2 linked regions of the Bombyx mori genome follow. The protein of the gene in region 2 purifies or fractionates together with the protein of the main gene of each other region. This does not show direct contact. Links are inferred from orthologs where the notes say so. Each region holds a gene or a part of one and is shown on either strand. Other genes may lie near its edges. The genes, in order: H/ACA ribonucleoprotein complex subunit 3 and H/ACA ribonucleoprotein complex non-core subunit NAF1.

What was found.
Region 1: the proteins of H/ACA ribonucleoprotein complex non-core subunit NAF1 (region 2) and H/ACA ribonucleoprotein complex subunit 3 purify together in Homo sapiens (co-immunoprecipitation; 6 studies listed by BioGRID and IntAct, with this or other methods). This does not show direct contact. The link is inferred for Bombyx mori from reciprocal best matches to the Homo sapiens genes NAF1 and NOP10.

The regions. Positions count from the first base shown.
Region 1 is NC_085131.1:8,620,198-8,629,608, reverse strand, and holds H/ACA ribonucleoprotein complex subunit 3, read right to left. Parts: upstream 5,045-9,411; 5' UTR 4,912-5,044; coding exon 4,858-4,911; intron 4,788-4,857; coding exon 4,745-4,787; intron 4,175-4,744; coding exon 4,077-4,174; 3' UTR 3,645-4,076; downstream 1-3,644. UniProt on the Homo sapiens protein: Required for ribosome biogenesis and telomere maintenance. Part of the H/ACA small nucleolar ribonucleoprotein (H/ACA snoRNP) complex, which catalyzes pseudouridylation of rRNA.
Region 2 is NC_085109.1:2,566,540-2,576,656, reverse strand, and holds H/ACA ribonucleoprotein complex non-core subunit NAF1, read right to left. Parts: upstream 6,928-10,117; 5' UTR 6,663-6,927; coding exon 6,286-6,662; intron 5,970-6,285; coding exon 5,812-5,969; intron 4,719-5,811; coding exon 4,612-4,718; intron 3,534-4,611; coding exon 3,397-3,533; intron 2,688-3,396; coding exon 2,192-2,687; 3' UTR 1,877-2,191; downstream 1-1,876. Other genes in the region: oocyte zinc finger protein XlCOF6, read right to left, coding at 7,881-8,024, 8,344-8,466, 8,515-8,709, 9,288-9,413. UniProt on the Homo sapiens protein: RNA-binding protein required for the maturation of box H/ACA snoRNPs complex and ribosome biogenesis.

The sequences.
Region 1 (9,411 bases), on a different chromosome or scaffold from region 2:
TGTTGACCTACATCCTTAACCTCGGATGCTCCTTGGTCACTCCCATGTGTTAGTCCTTCCCCTCGACTAAGCACATGGACCCTACATCCTAACCTCGGATGCTCCTTGCTCTATCCGCGAGCTCATCCTCCCAATCCTTCCCTGTTGACCTACACCCTCAGCCTTGGATGCTCCTTGGTCACTCCCATGTGTTAGCCCTTCCCCTCGACTAAGCACATGTGACCTACATCCTCAGCCTCGGATGCTCCTTGGTCATTCCCTATGTGTTAGTCCTTCCCCTCGACTAAGCACATGGGCTCCTTTTATCATTAAGCCACTTCCTCTTACTAGCCGAGCACCAGACCCTTCTCCTCGGCTAGTGTCGTCCTCCACGTCACAGATGATGAGCGTAACTGAAACTCACATTGTGGAGCTTAGAATGATGATAATTATAAACTGCTTTAACCGGGTTTAATAATTGCAAAAAGTAGAATAGGGTAATTTAAATGGCATAATATCGGGTACATTCCGAAAAGCTAGAAGAGGACTCCTCGTGGAACGGGGAACAGAAAAGAAAATAAACTTTATTATGCATGTGCATTCATCGAAAATCATGTATTTCCAAAGACCTGACGCACTCTAATATATTTATGTAAACATTTAAACCAATGCAATAACGAGTGTCGTTAGATTCTAATAGAGCCTATAAAACCCTTAACTTTTTCGTCACCATGTAAATAAAACGGCAGGTGGGTAGAATGAATTTGTTGTTTTAAGTTTAATTACTTATATTAAGTCAAAGTTATAATCGTCATTGATTTCTTCATTGGTTCTTCGTCATTGGTTTATTCAACCCAACGCACATGTGATCATTACGTGGTCGATTGTTCAGTGCGCTTGCACTGATCGGTTACAAGGCAATAATAAAAAATGACTCAGTGCGGGTTTGTATTATGAAGAGGAACAAGACAAAGAAAATTCATATAAAAAAAAAAAAAATCACAACCATCAGAATTTTCAATATCACTGAATCAGATGTAAATAATTAATAATAACTTACGTTTTACCGATCCGTGGGCGTAGTAAGGTTAGTTTTCTAGAGCCTTATTTATCCCGCTTCTGACCTTTTGGGTGTCAGACATATAAATTAAACAGGCTAACTTTGTTCACACTTTGCTTTAATCTGCCAATTTTACATTGATGCGTTTGGTTCTTGATTTATTCATAATTACTTTGGACTTCTTATACAAATTTTTACACACAACGCTACCGCGATGTAATTTTGTTAGCCTGTGACATCTATTGACGACATTTGTCAACTGTTGAATTTATAACTTAACAATATTTTAATGGTTTGCAATATAAACCTCATATTTAATAATAATTCTTAATATGTACAGGACTCTATATAATCATATAAATAATCAGAAACCTTACACTCTATATAATCATATTAATATAAATAATCATAAACCTTACACAAAGTACTGACATTTAATTTTAAGGCTAAATAAAAATTTTATTTATTTATTTTTGTTGTTCTACTCATTCATTATTTTTCCATATTTCCTTTGTTTCCTACCTCCTTCACTTAATCCGAAATAGCTCCTTAACTACTGGCTCGATTTGAATGAATTTGGTATCAATTTAAAGTTGACAGTTGAACCTTTAAAATGATGTGACTTTTATAATAATTACAAATTTATTTAGTAAGCAAGATCGCACGGAACCAATTTCAAGTAAGTGATTCCAAACTTTTGCTCGCGTGTATAGTTTAGACGCAAAAAACATGTTAGACCTGAATCTCACAATCGTATCATATATTAATATAATCGATTTCGTGAACACAAAATAGACTACCCATGTTAGAAACGCAACTAAGTTCTCTCTGATTGTCAATAGATGGTTCATCGATTTTGATCTGAAACATTATAAAAACGGCCACAATACTAGACTTGCGCAAAACATCACTTCCCAATGTAATGTGATATGACATCACTTTTACAGACAGGTGATATTACTCGAAAATATTACACATCACTCTTAACATTACTCGGTGCGTTCAATAGATACTGTGACGACGAATGCATTGTATCTATACACCCGAATCATTACCTAAGTGATGTGTTGATACACATCACTTAGGTAATGATTCGGGTGTGTCATTACAGTAGTGTATTACAATACAAAGTATGAACTTTGCATTGTAATACACTGTTATATTACTTGACAGAGATTGACTTACTTAATAATATAATAATTTTATTTTTTACTTAATATAATTTATTGTGGGATGAACGGATTTCATATGGCGACTTAGACTGCAAATTGAGCTCGACAATAATGTTAATATACGAGAGCAGTAGATGCATTGTTTCGGCGCGATATCCTCAAAGTGCATCCAAGGAGGACTGTACTTTCATTTAGACGCCATTCTTTCTTTCACTTATTAAACACGCATTAAAACAAATAATTAAACTATCTTCAAACAAGTGCTTAAGTAATTCAAATCAAACACAAAAATTATTATGAAATATTACTAAACAATTACGAGCGACTAGCGATTTTACAAAAGTTGCGAATAAAAAATTAAGTAAGTACTTGCGGGGAACTACCGGCTGGGCGCATGAAAAATATAAACACAAATACCTATATTAAAATTCAGACGTACCATAGGTATAAAAATGTACCTAGCGGCCAGGACATACGGTTCAAAATCACTAGGAATAATTCCGTGTCGCTTGCTCATTTATTTTGCGTCTATCGGTCTGTCTCGCTCGCTCTGTTCCGTTCATGTATTAAGCAACATTACACGACAAAGAAAGAAACATGTTGGGTGATAGTGTGATGTTTGTTTCCTTCGCGTAATGTGTGATGTTGCATTACATCGTAGAGTAATATTACCCGAGTAATATCACTCGCATTACTTACACATGTCTACACAATACGACCCGAGGCACGATAAAGTGATTCTCTTGCAAGACAATGATGCTCGGGCATACCTTGCGAAAACCGTTAAAATACTTGAAAACATTCAGATGAGATGCCATACCCTACCCGCCATATACTCCAGATGTTATGTCATCTGATTATTAGGTATCTCTTTGAAGGTCTGACTGACTAGCAGTTCTCATATGCCCTGCCCTGGTGAAACTGGAAAGGCCTACAGGGCACCAGTAATCCTTCAATCATATAAAAAATGCACACATCAAAGGGTAACTAAATCCGTGGATAGCCTCAGAAGTCAAACTCTATCATCAAGGAAATCTACTAAAATTAATTGTAATGCCATTATTAGACACTACACTTTATTCAACTTGTCCAAATACTAAAGGGAGTTGTGGCACATTGCTGTGTTCTTGTGAACATATTTAGCAGATGGTTTACTGGATGTTTAGCTAGAGATAAACTTCAGAAATACTGCCTACATAATCACTTTTTAGTAACCAAGATATATTTTTTCAGATTGAGTATATTCACTGTATAAAATTTCCTGGCACAGCCATGGCCATTTTTATCTGAGGCAGATACTGTAACACATGCTAATACTCTCCAGGTTAGAGCCCATTTATCAGTCATGGCTCGATTGTCCATGAAGGAAATTGGTGTATATACGGAACTATCAAGACTTGCTTTATAGTAGCTATAAATAATAAAAGCACACATAACATTACGACTATATTACAACATATATTTTGAAACTGCATTCATTTTACATAATCATAAGAAGAGATATTGTAATAAAAAATAAATTATATTAAATTTATAGCCTGGTTATCCTTTACATACTTCTCGACACACTGTGGAGAGTGAGATGAGTACTGCCACCATGACTTGGAATGATGTCAAGGAGCAAGGTCAAATGGAGAAAACTTGTAAGGGCCCTATGTACCAGTGGGGTAGCCTAGGATTACCACAATCAGATGAAAATCATTAGAAAAAGGAAGAGCAAGTCATAATAAAGTAATATATTTTGTAAGACCATTTGTGTTCTGTTGTATGCTAAATCCTGTGTGCCTTAGATTTTGAAAAGAATTGTTAAAATGTATCAAAATTTAGACCATTTTGGTAATTTTCAATACAAATCAATATTTATTTTAATGAATAGGTTCAGGTTGTTGTGTAAGCAGCAGGCCAAATCTCTTCTTGATTATTATTCTGTGTCTTGAGTATTTGTCTTCAGGAGAAAAACGAGCTGCAATAAAAACAATTGGATTATTGAAGTAAATTAGCCTGTTATTTTGTAGATGTGAGATTGTTTTTTGCTTTTTTTTAAATTTGATTTCATTAGCATATATCAGATGGAATCTCCAATTGTAATTTTCACCATCTTCAATAATTAATACATGATAAGATTGTGAGATTCAGGGATAACGTCTAACATGATTTTTTAGGATAAGAGGATGATTTTTGGCCGAAAACCTTTCAAGGCTTGTCAAGGTGGTTGTTATCCAACGTAAACAATCAGTTTCGATGGTTGACAAAAATGACATTATATTAAAAGCAGTCAATAATTTTATTACTTTGGCCTAATAAATACCAGTACAGGATAAAAGATAATTGAAGCAAATTGTTTTTAGTTCATAAACCATATTATTGTCTTAGTCTTCTATATTAACTAGATTAAATATATCTCAAGCATTTACAGCTTATTTCCACTATAAAACACTGTTATGCATTACCTATTAGGAAAACATACATAACCTTCTAACTTTTGAAAACAACGATTAATCACTAATAAACCATACTTGATGATGTTATTTACCTGGATGTGCTGACAATGTTGGTTTTCCAAATGGGTCGATGGTCTGAGAAAGTAAAAAGATTATTGATAGAATAATTAAACACATGTTGACGAGGTTACAGTACAATACTTACCGCTAATGTGTACTCTCTATCGCCTTTATCGTTTAAGTAATACCTGAGATACATTTTAATGTTATTAAAAATGCAAATAACAAAAACTACAACTAATTTAGCGCTATTTTATTTGTATGTGGTAATCCAGTAATTCCTCGTGTTTACTGTTCAGTGTTTTTGTGTCTCAAATATATTAAGTGTATAATCTATGTTTTTTTTTTTTTTTTTTTTCCCTACCTAAGCTGATAGCCCTAGCGGCTATTTCAGCGTAGCCTTAACTTTAGTAGGTGAGCTCACGGGGCTCAAACCTGACGATGTTGCTAACACGAACCCTAGCAAGAGTCGTGCTTCGCAGAATCTACCACCGGATCGGAAACGCGACCCACTGAGAAGATCCGGCGAGAAACTCAGTGGGCTGTGTCTGAGAGTTAATTTACTCGTCGAGCCCTTCGTCGCAAGCGACGGGTTCGACGAGAACGGTGACCGGTGGAATCTATGTTTTTGTGTCTTTGAGTTTATATAAATGACAAATGTATAATCTATGTTTAAACCACAGAGTAGGACAATTGACCATAATTTACCATAAAATCAGGGTGAATGAAGTTAGCCCCTCAAAAAAAATTTTTTTTCCTGTTTTCTACTTATTTTCTATTAATTCGTTTGTTCATCATTTGTTCTTGATTGTTCATTGTTAATAATTGTTTGTTCCCCATTTATTTATTTTAAAAAATATATTAAAAATATATCTAAAAGTTAGCCCCTCGATTGCAATTTTTAAAATTTTTTCGTCCTTAATTACTCGTAAATATTCATTTTCGATTGTTCTTATATAAAATACGTTTGTTCTCTTTCGAAATTACTCATTTTTTGTTTAATTAATTGTATTAGTTGAATAAATGTATACAAAATATGTGTACTGCGCATGCCATAAGTGTATAATCTATGGCGCATGCGTCAACTATAATGCCTAAACTTTCTACGCGGTTTTAATCGTGAAAAAAAAAACAATTATAAATCCTGAAGGATCGATTAATTGGTATACAGTTTAATTAAAAAAATTAAAAAATAAATAAATAAAATAATGTGCATTCGCGTAAAGTTAGACCAAATACATTTTTTCCATCCTCCTATATACCTATCGCTATGAAGATATAAAAAAGATAGGTTAAGAGTTCACATAGGTAATATAAACAAATAAGTAAATATGTTTATTATTTATCTTTCAAGAGATAATGTAGGTATACATTATAATAACATTTTGACACAGTCGAAATTATATTCCTAACATTAGTAATATAACATTTTAATATTTTTTTTATAGGTTATGTATTGAAATTGTTGGAAAATTATTTCATGTTTTAGCTGGAAAACTACATGGAGAATTATATGCAATACAAGATAATGAGCTCCATTAAATGAATTCGAATGAAACCAAACTGTTTACCATCCAAATTCGATTGTCGGGCAGATAGAAAACGAAAATTCACTCATAGTGAACCTCGGCCTGCATTTGTGAAACGGCAAAGACTCACTATTATCAAGGAAATTGAAGAGACGACTAAAAATGAGATGTGTCGTATTATTATACCTTTGCCATCTTGTAGTCAAGGTAGGTGTAACTGTCAATAATTAGTTACACTCACAGATCTCCTAATCAAATAACAATATCAGAAAAAATGAGAATAGTTAGTTAGTTAGTGGAAGTAGCCAAAATGGGCAAGTGGATCTCAGTTCCTATTACATAAGGTACTAGGAAGTTTGTGAAAATGAAAATTTATCACAGTGTAATATCACTTACTTACTTTAACAGTGAAGGAAAACATTGTGATGAAACCTGCACACCTAAATGTTCTTAGGATTTTCTTAGGTGTGTAATCCACCAACCAGCACTAGGCCAGCGTGGTGGACTAAGGCCTAAAAACCCTCTCAATGGTAGTGAAGGCCAGTGTCCAGCAAGGGGATATATTATATGGGCTGATGATGATGACTAGGAAGTTAAATACTACTACTACTACTACGACAGTACACATATAATCCTATATATTTACAAACTATACGTTTGTTGGAAATTGCTAACATTATTTCATATTTCCAGATGTCCAGCCACTTGAAAATAGGTGTAGTAATGACAAAGCTATCCAAGTAGCTCCAGCACAGGAACACAAAGGCAAGGCAAGTGTGTATTGCCACATCACCCCTTAATATATCTGAAGCAAGTATAAGTAAACAATCAGAACCAGCAAAAAAAAAAACTGTTGTTCCTGAGGACAAATTTGACAGTGATGAGTCAAATGCACCAGCAACAGAAGGATCAACTGTTGACTATGGGTTATAGAAGAAGAAGATGAATTCATATTTATTTAAATTAATATTAATGAATATTAATTTAAATTATCGTGCAAAATTCGTGGTCAAAACATATGTGTATTTTATAAATAAATATTCATTCTCAGTATTAATGTTGTTTTAATCATCGATTGAAAAATTGGTTCTTAATGAATTTAGTTGGAGCTAAATGCTGCTTGGAGCTTAATACTTTCGAATAACATAAACACGTGACTTTAAGCATAAACATATTTTTTAGGTAAATACTTTATTTAGCTTTGCTGGATTTATCCAAGATTTCGACATACCAAAGTTTCATACAGGAACGACAGATAGATAGCTATCTGATTGAATACCCTTGTAGAATTGAGCTTCGAAGAAAAGTTTATTCTTATTCTTTATTAGACTTTATTCTAGTTGCAGTGTCGGTTAGAGAAGCTGTGCAAGCTTCTGTAACCGATACTGCATGGAATAAATAGTCATTATAATTATAAAATATATTTCTGTTTACATACCATACAATTTTCATAGTTCAAATATGAATTTGGATTGATATGAATTTATTTCGATTATCAAAATAATTTGTATTAAACATTTATATTTCCTCAAAATGTCTATTTTTATAATAATGACTGTGACCACCCCATAAATCACAAAATTAAAAATAAACAGATCGCGAATTAAAATATTATATTATGCCTATCATTCTTAAATAATTCAGTAATGAATTTTCGCATCGCCCCGCCGTATATAATTAATATGAATAATAGGGTATTGCCCACTGTGTTAAAAAAAAAACATAAATTATGTTTTTTTGATAGATCTACAAACAAGCAAGTGAGTAATGCTATGTTTCCATAAATAAAAAGGCAAAAAAAAATTAAAGAAAGATATTATGCACAAGTTCAAATGCATATGTATTGTGCTAAAAGTAAAACTTGCTACTTTTGTGTAGCATCCAGCAACTTTGAAAAAACTAATCAGGTCACTATAATTAGTAGGTATTGATTTTGATTCTGAGTAAGTTGCACAGTTGTTAGATAATGTAGTTTCTTTTTGGAAGAATAACAATTTTCTAATCTTACACAAAAATGTAATGTTAAATATTTAAAAAAAACTTTATACCTATTTTCCTTTTAGGGAGTACAAAATATTGATGTGTACAAAGTGAATGTCATTTAATAAAAATAATATTTCAATTTAAATTATGTTTTATTAAAAATTATTCTTAACATACAGGTACAAAGGTTACATAACATTAATTTTTATTCCTTTTCATATATATAAGCCCATATTTAGCACATTTGTGGAAAACAGAATCAAAATAATAATGAGTTGCTAGCCATAGAAGACCAGCATAAAAGTCTTATTAAAATCTGTTCAGTAGTTTTTGAATGAAGAGTGAAAATACTTACAAAACTTCCTATTTATAAGTAAGGATTACTTTATTATTTAATTAAAGAGTTTTGTAGGTGGCAAACTATCTAAAAACTTTCTATTTTCCACCAAGTTGACATCAATTATCCTTCCTGCATATATAATTATTGTATTGTTTTTTTTATAGTCTAACAAGGGGTGATATTACATTTGCAATTTCTGGGAGTTTGTTGAAAAATATATTATATATATATATATTGCTTGCTTGACTTACAGATAAATCGAAATCATCAGCCAATTGAGAGAATGTTCTATTTAATGTTATTCTCATCAGACATAATATAATATTTTGTTCAGAAACATTTGTATGTTTCTCAATCAAGCCTATTATGAAACATAATTCTTGTGGAAGACCAATATATAAACGTTGTTTATTTTTCACTTTAGATAAAGTTGTTAACACATTCATTTTTTCAACTTTTTAGTCTTCTTGAGAGCTATAGTCTGAAGTGCACAAGTCTTTGATGGAGTGGAGATATAGAGAGATAACTCATAGTCAACAGTTGATCCTTCTTTTGCTGAGAATGAATATTTATTTATAAAATACACATATGTTTTGACCACGAATTTTGCACGATAATTTAAATTAATATTCATTAATATTAATTTAAATAAATATGAATTCATCTTCTTCTTCTATAACCCATAGTCAACAGTTGATCCTTCTGTTGCTGGTGCATTTGACTCGTCACTGTCAAATTTGTCCTCAGGAACAACAGTTTTTTTTTTGCTGGTTCTGATTGTTTACTTATACTTGCTTCAGATATATTAAGGGGTGATGTGGCAATACACACTTGCCTTGCCTTTGTG
Region 2 (10,117 bases):
TTAACCCAATTTAAGATATGTATAAAATATTAGACATTTCTTAGTAGGTTGAGCTATGCCATAATTTAAAAAATCAAATAAAAATTCATATAATTAATTACAGTCTAAATATTGTTTGAACAATGTCTACTCCACAAAACAGCACACGAGTACATTTCATATTTTAACGTTTAGTTGTAGTGTCCAAGGTTTTTATATTCCTGTATTGTGAAATGACTGTCATTTTACGTTGTGATCATGTGAGTGCAAAATTTTTTATTTAAAAAAAAAACCAGTTTCGATGACACTTCGTCGACATTAGGGCAGCAGATATATTTAACATACAATATGTTTTTGTTCTGCACAGTCCGAGAGCAGTATTTTTTAGATTTAATCTTTTATAATTATAAACTTTTTATTTTTAACGTTTATCGAAATTCGAACGTTAGTTTCTAACAATGAAATATTTAATAAAGAAAATCACAAAAGTAAGTTTTTATTTTTTTATTTTTCTGAACACATTAATTATTGTTTACTTACACATATGACAATATCAAGGTGAGATTGCAAAATATCTTAGGAATAATATTTAAATTTTAATCTAATAACTAAATTAGGTAATTTTCGGTCAGTGGTCATCGTAGCTCATGAACATCAGCAATAACAAGAATACAGTAAAGCCCTTGAGAACTCTCCTCCTGGCCAAGCCCTAGAGAAACACCATCATTCCAAAAGCCAGATGGAGCATGGCAAATACTATCTCTGGAAACTTCTTGTAGATCAACGCAGCGGTTCGAACTGGTATTGATGAACCCATCTCTGGCGGCGGGAGCGATAAAACAAGGAAGATATTATATCATCTCAAACAATTCCTCAGAGCACTTTCCATAGAACATACGAGAACTGAAGTACCCGAACGATTGAGAAGGGGACTATCAACAGTCCAGTAGAATCCAATAGAAGTAGGTAGCTGGTATTAATTTCGAGCGTGGACTGTATTTAGTGCTAGCTTCAATAAAAACTTGATTCAGAGCGAAGGATTTTTAATTCTCTTAATGTACATACCGGGACGTCTTAAACTAGGATGGGGCCCTTGGGCACACAAGAATTTGAGGCCCTTTTGGAAAGTAAAAAAAGCGAATTATAATAACATTTTTTTACTGAGTATGACCATTTATTATAGGTAATCAAATAGAATATAATATGTCATTAATGATATTAGAATGCTGCTGGTTTTTTGGTTACGATTTCGATAACGGTTTCTTTCGGGATTTCTGCTGAGCAAAATCTTGTATTATAGGCATAGTATATGCCTTGTGATTACTGATTTATGAAAAAAGTGTAATGTGCCCGACAAAAATGTTTTGAGAATAAACGTGTGAGAGAAATTGTCGGTCTTTCGGGGCCCCCTGAGAATGAGGGCTCTGGATAAGGGCCACGTGTACCCTTATGGTAAAGACGGTATTGTATACATAGAATAAAGAACCGTGCAATTACGACCAGAATTTTTTGTGCAACTGCAACGACTTGTGTTGCCATACTGAAAACAATGATATATAAAGTGTCAAGTTTAGGATTGCCCTAAACTAGGCTCAAGAGCGATCTGTGGTATCCTTCACTTGCTAAAGATATACCTGCCACAGTATTCAGTTTTCGGTTTTCGGTTTTCTTACTGTGTACCAGTGTATATTTTGAGAGTTTGCGTTACTTTACCTTAATTATGCTATTTAGTTAAAACTGCAATTTCAACACAGATCACTAATAGTCCACTAATCCTATTAACTGTCTTAAAAAGTTTTAACATATTTTTGCATCGTTTTGTACGCCCAAGCGTTTGAAAACTCTTCCAAGGATCGACTTAATTTTTAACAGAATAAAAGCAAATAAAACCGATGGCTGAATGAGGTATCATATTTATTATAGTATAAATATAATTTTTGGATAACCACACGTTCAGTATTGTTAAACAATAACTGCGATAACCGTAGTAAACTAATTGTAATCAACATGTGTAACTTTGACCTCGCAGGGAACGTTGGCCGCTCGACCTCGGATATACAGTACGCGCATTTATTTATCCAACAGAATATTCCTACTGGAAAGCGTTTTCAAATTTCTCTGGAACAACCTCTCTCACGAAGAGGTCAAGGTTACCCAAATTGTGTATTGATAATTACAGAGATTAAAACCTAAATCGTTGTACGCGGCCGCATTAAGTTCCGGGTGGGGGAGGGGGGCGGGTGAGCCAGTGCGGACCCGGGGTGGACATGAACACCGGAGCGTTGGTGCGGAAGGGACTGTGCAGGCGCGGAGAGCTTCCGAACTGGAACAGGCTTGAGAACGGAGGGGGCGCTGCCGGGTTATAGGGGGGCGGGGTGTTCGGGTTGAAGGGAGGGATGAAAGCCGATCCGTCTGCAGAGAGAGGGGGAGGTCTGCCGTGGCGCCTGGACCCGAGCGCGAAAGGATTGCGACCTCTGCTCGGCCCGCTACCGAATCTGCTATTCCACTCCGAAGGCCTCTGGTTCCGTCTCTCGACCGGTTTCCGAACGTTCCGGGACGTTTCTCCGTCGTTCTGAGTGTTCTCGTCTTCTTTGTTTTTCGTCTTGCGAGCCCGCGCCGCCCTGCGCTCCTCTTCGTCGTCGGAGTAGTCGATGTGACTAGGCGGCGGCTCGATGTCGTTCAGCCAAGAAGCGTCACAGCCTCTCACTCTGGAAGGAAGAAGAAAGAAAAATAAATTTGATATAATGATCTCCGATTACTAATGTTACACTTCGATAAAGCCGGTAACTACATTCCCGATCCTGCGGACATAATGGAAAGCAGTCGACGTCGCCCCAAACACGTCATTTCGGATCCTCCCGATCCACTAACGGTGCTTTCGGTACCACAAGCAGCGGTCATCGTTCTCGTCGAACCCGTCGCTTGCGACGAAGGGCTCGACGAGTAAATTAACCCTCAGACACAGCCCACTGAGTTTCTCGCCGGATCTTTTCAGTGGATCGATCGCGTTTCCGATCCGGTGGTAGATTCTGCGAAGCACGGCTATTGCTAGGGTTCGTGTTAGCAACGTCGTCAGGTTTGAGCCCCGTGAGCTCACCTACTAGCTAAGGCTACGCTGATATAGCCTCTCAAGGCTATCAGCTTAAGTAGGAATAAAAAAAAACCTAATGTTATGATGGCACTAAAAATGGCAAAGTAGCACTAATGAAAGTTCAACGGACCCGGGGATCTGTGGTGTCGAGACAACGGGAGGGCCTTATGCTAGTTGACTTTACTGTGTGTCAGAAATACACTATTTATGAAAACTAATTAATGTGTTATGTTCTTTTAAGGTAACAGTTAATTTGGTTTCGTAGTTGGTTTGACGATAATTAATAAATAAAAAACCCTGCAAACAAGTTTCAAATACAAACTCACTTCATCAGTTCTGATATAAATACGTAATTAGTGTGTTGGCTTTTTGGCGCGATGAATACTTCCATCCCGGTTTGTACGCCTCGTTCTTTGACGTGATCGAGTGAGTTGAACCGGACGCAATAGTGCGGCTCCGTTATCTGAAAATTAACAAAAAAAAAAACATACTAAACATATTTTTTTTTGCTTAGATAGGTGGACGAGCTCACAGCCCACCTGGTGTTAAGTGGTTACTGGAATCCACAGATAGACATCTACCACGTAAATGCGCCACCCGCCTTGAGATATAAGTTCTAAGGTCTCAGTATAGTTACAACGGCTGCCCCACCCTTCAAACAGAAAAGCATTACTGCTTCATGGCAGAAATAGGCAGGGTGGTGGTACCTACCCGCGCGGACTCCCAAGAGGTCCTACCACCAGTAATTTTAAAACATTGATATAATCACACAGGCAAAGAATACGGTATAGGATATTTAAATTAGTAAGCCGCCAGTCACATTTATATAACAGTATATATATATTTACCATAAACAAAAAAAAAATAGGACAGTTCAAATCTTTCACCACTGTATTATTCCAAATAATAAAAATGTAGACAAATTTCCATAAGCTATGTATTAATTCCTTTTTAATAACATTTTAATGCGTTTTCAGAGCCAAATGATATTGGATGTGAAATATACATAGGGTCACTGAAGTATTTTTGGATTATGGCCAAATAGTGTATTGCAGATATAATTTAGAAGATATAACCTTAATTGTATGCCAAATAAACATTTAATAAAATTTTCATTACAATTATGTTTATTATACCTATGAAGTTTGCACTGGACACTACATTTATTCTATTTTACATAGATTTAAACTACAGAAAAGCCTCATATGTGTTTTAAAATTATGGGGTTACTAGACCTAAAATCAAATTTCATACTTTATACAACATAGTAATTAAAAATAAAAACTAACTAACATAGTAACTAAAAAAACTAGGTGCTACCCTCACCGTCGTCTGCATGCTTAAGGAGCAAGTATAGTTTCTCAGGGGAATGAGATATTTTGTTGGGTTAAAAGGTAGGCTATGTCACTTTATTCTATCTATCTCTAATATTATCACTTTGAATTATATATCGGTGTGTTGCTTCATTACGAAATGAAAGATAGACAAAAAACACCCCCTCACATTTGTATTAAGTAATAATATTAAGTATGGATACTCACAGGTCCAAATACATCAAAAACTTTGCCAAGTGCCTTTGCTCCGTTTTCCACAAAAAGTACGCTCTCTATGTCCACTGCAGGTGTCTCCGGAAATGCTTGAACTATAACTGATACAACAAACAATTTTATAATATTGTTTTTTCTTTTGCACACCCTGTCTGGGAGTAGTTTAATAAGTATTAATGAAACTCTTAGATGCCATGATATGAGTAGAAACATTTTATATCTTTATAAATGCGTTTTCATTTTGCAAGAATTATAAAAATGTGTATATTATTATTATTGTTGCTTTTTTTAAGTTAATTTATAGTGAGGAAACACTCCATCTTCACTACTCACTCATTGTTAAAATAAATTCCTCATTTGTAATTAATTCCAATAATTAGATAGTGTTAAGAAAATAATAATTAAAATAATGATTAATAGCATTTATTAATATTCAACTTCACTGATTAATAATTATTACAACAATCAGTAGTGAATCACTAAAATGAACATTTATGAAAAATAAACACTTAAAGGGACCTTTACTGTTGAGTCTCATGTTTTTTATTGTCATTGTAGCATTTTTGTAGCTAGCACAATATTCAAATGCCGACAAATAATGATCTCAAAATCTGATCCACGATCCCAAAAACTGCCAAGTTTTCCGAAGCATCAGAATGAGCATCCACACAAATAATAAAAAAAAAAAGACTAAACTATAAAATGTAACTGCTAACACTGTAAACAGTAAATGCTAATTAAATATTTGCACCATTACACTATCACTTTTCAGTATCATAGTATATATTGTACATAATAGTCACCATTAGTAGCGAAACGGTTAATGATACATTCAAAGCCTAGGTATATAACCATGTCCTTCAAGCTTCAAAAGCTCCAAAATATTATAAATACTTGACTAGACCATGCACAACTACATTTTACTTTTATTTTTCAATCATATAATGTACTTGTAGTTAAGCTGTTAGCATTGAATCCATGTTGTTTTTAGTCATTTTTATTAAATTAATGCCTATTTTGTTATCTACCATCTTGGGACAAATTACAATATAATCTATTTATTTATTTTATTCTTCATAGGACTGATACACAAAAAATTATTATTGTGGATACTATTCATTGTGATAAAACAATGAATTCTAAATGATATAACATTTGATTTAATGATTTTAAATTATAAGTTATTAAACTCACCTAATCTATCAACTATGCTGGCAATTTTTCCTATTTTGGTGCATTCCTGGGCAGGTAAGCTGATGGCAAGGTCCTCGATGGGTGGGAGGTCATCCAGTCCTAATTCACCGTTTACTTTTGGTGCTTCTGGCTTATTATTTCTAACTTCAAACTCATCTCTAAAATCATATAAGTTACAAGGTATGTTTCTTTATTGTTGCAAAAATAATAACAAAGAGCTCTGTTTTGACTATTTTGAGTAATTATATTATTTTTAAATAAAAAAAATGGCAATGAATCTCTCAAAAAATCTCATTATTTAGTTTTGGAATATTCAAACAAATCATTTCATGCTTGGCCTTGAAAAAAATACTGTTTTTTTTTTATAACAATTTACTTTCCCATCTTTGTTCATGAGAGTTTGATATATTTTGGTCTTATGTAATACCAGCAAACTAAAAGTAAACACTTAAAAGGCTTATTAAACGTATTTACCCGCTAGACGCATCAGCATCCTTCACAGAATCCACTTCACTATCACTGGAGTCACTGGAAGAGCTTGTATTTGAATCACTGTCCGCGTCTCTATATTCGGTAACTTCGTACTCCATTATACCGCGTTCTGAACTGTCTATTATCATGTGTCTGGTCACCTGTTCATCGCAAGGATCTGTTCTCGACAGAGGTCCGTGAGCACACGCGTTTATTATGTTGTTCTTTAACACCATTTCGCTCAACTCAGGAGCGTCCGAGTCGTTACCCGTATTGTTTGACCGTGTCTCTGTATCGTCAGAATCAGAGTCCGAACCTCCGTATTCGGCTATTAAGCTTAATGACACGTTTTTATTACTGCTTTTGTTGAGGTTCTCCATTGTTCCACTTCGCACTCCTGCACGCTTACAACTTAACGATATGATAGATGTATGTCAAATACTTTATTAGGAACTAGTTTAGCATTATTAAGAAAATTACGAACATACGCGCACTTCTATTTAGACACAAAATACATGTAATAAATCCAATATTTCTATGCAATCAAAAAGCGTGACAATATGATCGCAAAAAAATGAGGCAATTGACAATTTTATTGACAGTGTAAAATAGAGATGTAGTCATCATCTCAAATATTAAGTGTATAATCTATGGTAGTCATAGTAGAGATGGCCAACTTTTGCTTAATAGCGTCTTTGATCACCAAGTTCTCAACAAATTTTCGTACGTATGACATTGATCAACCTTTAAAAATGGTTATAGGTGTACAGTTATACGTTTTTCATGAAAAGGCAAGTGTTGTATTCATATACACATTAATCACTGTCACTGAAAGGACTAAAACCAAACATACAGTTGTCTTGTTCTACGAGAAATACTCGACGGGGGTTTATAAATGAAGTCCGATTTAAAGTCAATTTAGTCTAAGGTTGTTACCAAGTTCATCATTTCTTTCAATATTAAAACCGATCGAAAATAATAAACTGTTGATTTGGGATATGGATAGACTTGATATTGGGATATGATATGGAGCACTAGGACGAGTTTTTACCTCATCTCTATATGTTTTCCAGCGATTGATTTTTCTGATAACGCATTTAGCGCAAATTAACCTACGCACACATTAAAATTTTTTTTTTTTTTTTTTTTTCTATAATACCTTACATATAACATGAATTTTACAGAACGTTGAATCTTTTCAGTAAGTAATCTAGTAAGTACATGTGGTGAGAATGGTTCGTTGCTTCCCATATCTACACAATTCAAGTAAATTTTTTCGAATTCAATTTTTTTTTATAAAATTTGAAACTTTAAGTTTTACTTTAACTGATTACAATTTTTTATCATCCAATTTTTTAATCCACTTTGTTGTATATATGTTCTATAATTTAGAGTGGATTCGCTATTAAATCGATTTCAAATTAGTTATGGCAAGGTCAAAGCGCCAGAGAAATACCGTTGACATAAAAGTACCAAGGGAGTTTTTAAAAATGCAATACAGTATTTTATATTGAACTGTAGTTACGTTAAATATCGTTTATTTTATATAGTTTACTTAACATTTTAAATACATGCAATATGGATCTTTGTTTATTTAGTTAGTCTGAAGTTTTGGTCCGCTTCTTACGAGGCGGAGTAGGCAGCTTGTAGTGTACGGTGCGGATGTGTAGGTTTCTGCTGGTCGAATACTTGAACTTCTTGCAGCACATGGGACACTGGTATGCTGCCACATTCGAGTGCACCTGCAATAAGAATGTGGTGATCTGGCATAAATAGGCGTGTTTGCAGTTGCTGGAATAAGGAATAGGAATGCTGCGCCAGTGCGTATTTGTCGTAGGTGGGCTAGGGTGAGTAGAATACAGTAGGGTACAGTGGAGTAGCAACACGCACCTTGGCGTGGCGGTTGAGGTTGGTGCGCAGCGTGAAGGTCTGTCCGCAGTGCGTGCACACGAACGGACGCGCCCGCGTGTGCGTGTGTGCGTGCCGCGCCAGTGCGTACTTGTCGTAGGTGGGCTAGGGTGAGTAGAGTACATTAGGGTACAGTGGAGTAGCAACACGCACCTTGGCGTGGCGGTTGAGGTTGGTGCGCAGCGTGAAGGTCTGTCCGCAGTGCGTGCACACGAACGGACGCGCCCGCGTGTGCGTGTGTGCGTGCCGCGCCAGTGCGTACTTGTCGTAGGTGGGCTAGGGTGAGTAGAGTACAGTAGGGTACAGTGGAGTAGCAACACGCACCTTGGCGTGGCGGTTGAGGTTGGTGCGCAGCGTGAAGGTCTGTCCGCAGTGCGTGCACACGAACGGACGCGCCCGCGTGTGCGTGTGTGCGTGCCGCGCCAGTGCGTACTTGTCGTAAAACGCGCGCCCGCACTCGTCGCACCGCACCGACGGAGACGCGTGACGTAGCTCGTGGATACGTAACTTCGTTTTATTCTATTCCAATGAATAATCAGTTACGATTAATTATTTTATTTGGTTTTAATAGAAGCAGAAACACTATGCTATTTAAGTATCTATTTTTATATAATTAAAATTGCTTTTACGGTTTAATCTCACGTTTATTATTTGCGACGATGCGAATATTTTATAGTTTTCGTAGTCTCGGACAACTGGTGTAAATGACTACATTTGAATACTTATTATGAACTTAATTACCGTCTAAATCTTTTAAAAAAAGTGGGTGCGTACAAAGTACACATGTCAGAAGTGAAACTTTTTTGGCGAACTAATTTATAAGTCTTGCTTATATTTAAACAAATCTAAAACTTTAGATTTCCGAGACTTAGAGGAAGGGAAAAAGGAAGATATGTTCCCGCCAAAAGTCTGTCAAATGTCAATCTCAAACCTCAGTGTTGACAGTCCCATTATGTTTAGATTTCTAAATTGTAAATGACTAGTATTTTGCCAATTGAATTGACTAATTTAATTCATGCTATTTGATTAATGTTCCAAATTCTTTTCATTTCATTTCAATTCAAAAAAATTAAATTCATCAAAGAGTACGAATATACCTGGAATCCCTTACCGCAGACGTCACAGATGGCGGCGATGACGCGTCTATACGAGTCCTTCTCTTCCGGATGTTCCTTATACGTGTGCCACCAATGTTCCCGACGGCTACTTACCATTTTGTTGCACTGTAATAGTATCTTTACATTATAAGTGGATTAAAATATGTACATAAATATTTTATGTTATTACTTTATTGAAGAAATGTTATATTGATACTATATAACATTTCTATTTAACACTATATGACCTGTCTTAAGATTCGTTCTTCAACGCGCACTGTTTAGTGTATCTCCTCTTGGTTCCGCATGTGTAAAAGTCGAACCAAATATTTAGTGAGAAAGCGGAGGCTTTTTTGGCGGGAAAGCGAGGAGCGAAGTTATGTGGTTTGTTTTATTTTGTCTATTTAGTGTTTCTTCAGGCTTAAATGTGTAATAATGGTGGTTTATTAACTGTTTAGTATCTGTGAATTTAGCGAATTAGTTGTGGGAATTGAAATAAAGCCGATGGACGTAACTTCTCGGAATACTCCAGTCTCAGTAAATAAAATAAAAATCAATAAAAGTCTCAGTAAATAACCACCATTTTACTGAGATTATATTTCATCCTATCCCATGTCATCTCATCTCATTTCATTTAATTTCATGCCAATTGATTAATGTTTCAAATTAATCAACTTCATTCCATTTCACTCCACATTATCATTTTTCATAAAAAATAATATAAAAGATTAGGCTGTATGGTATCATTGCCTTTGTATTTGGAAAAACAAAACTACTACTACTGAAAAAGCCGACGTATAGTGTACTCGAGAAGACCGCGGACCAGTACC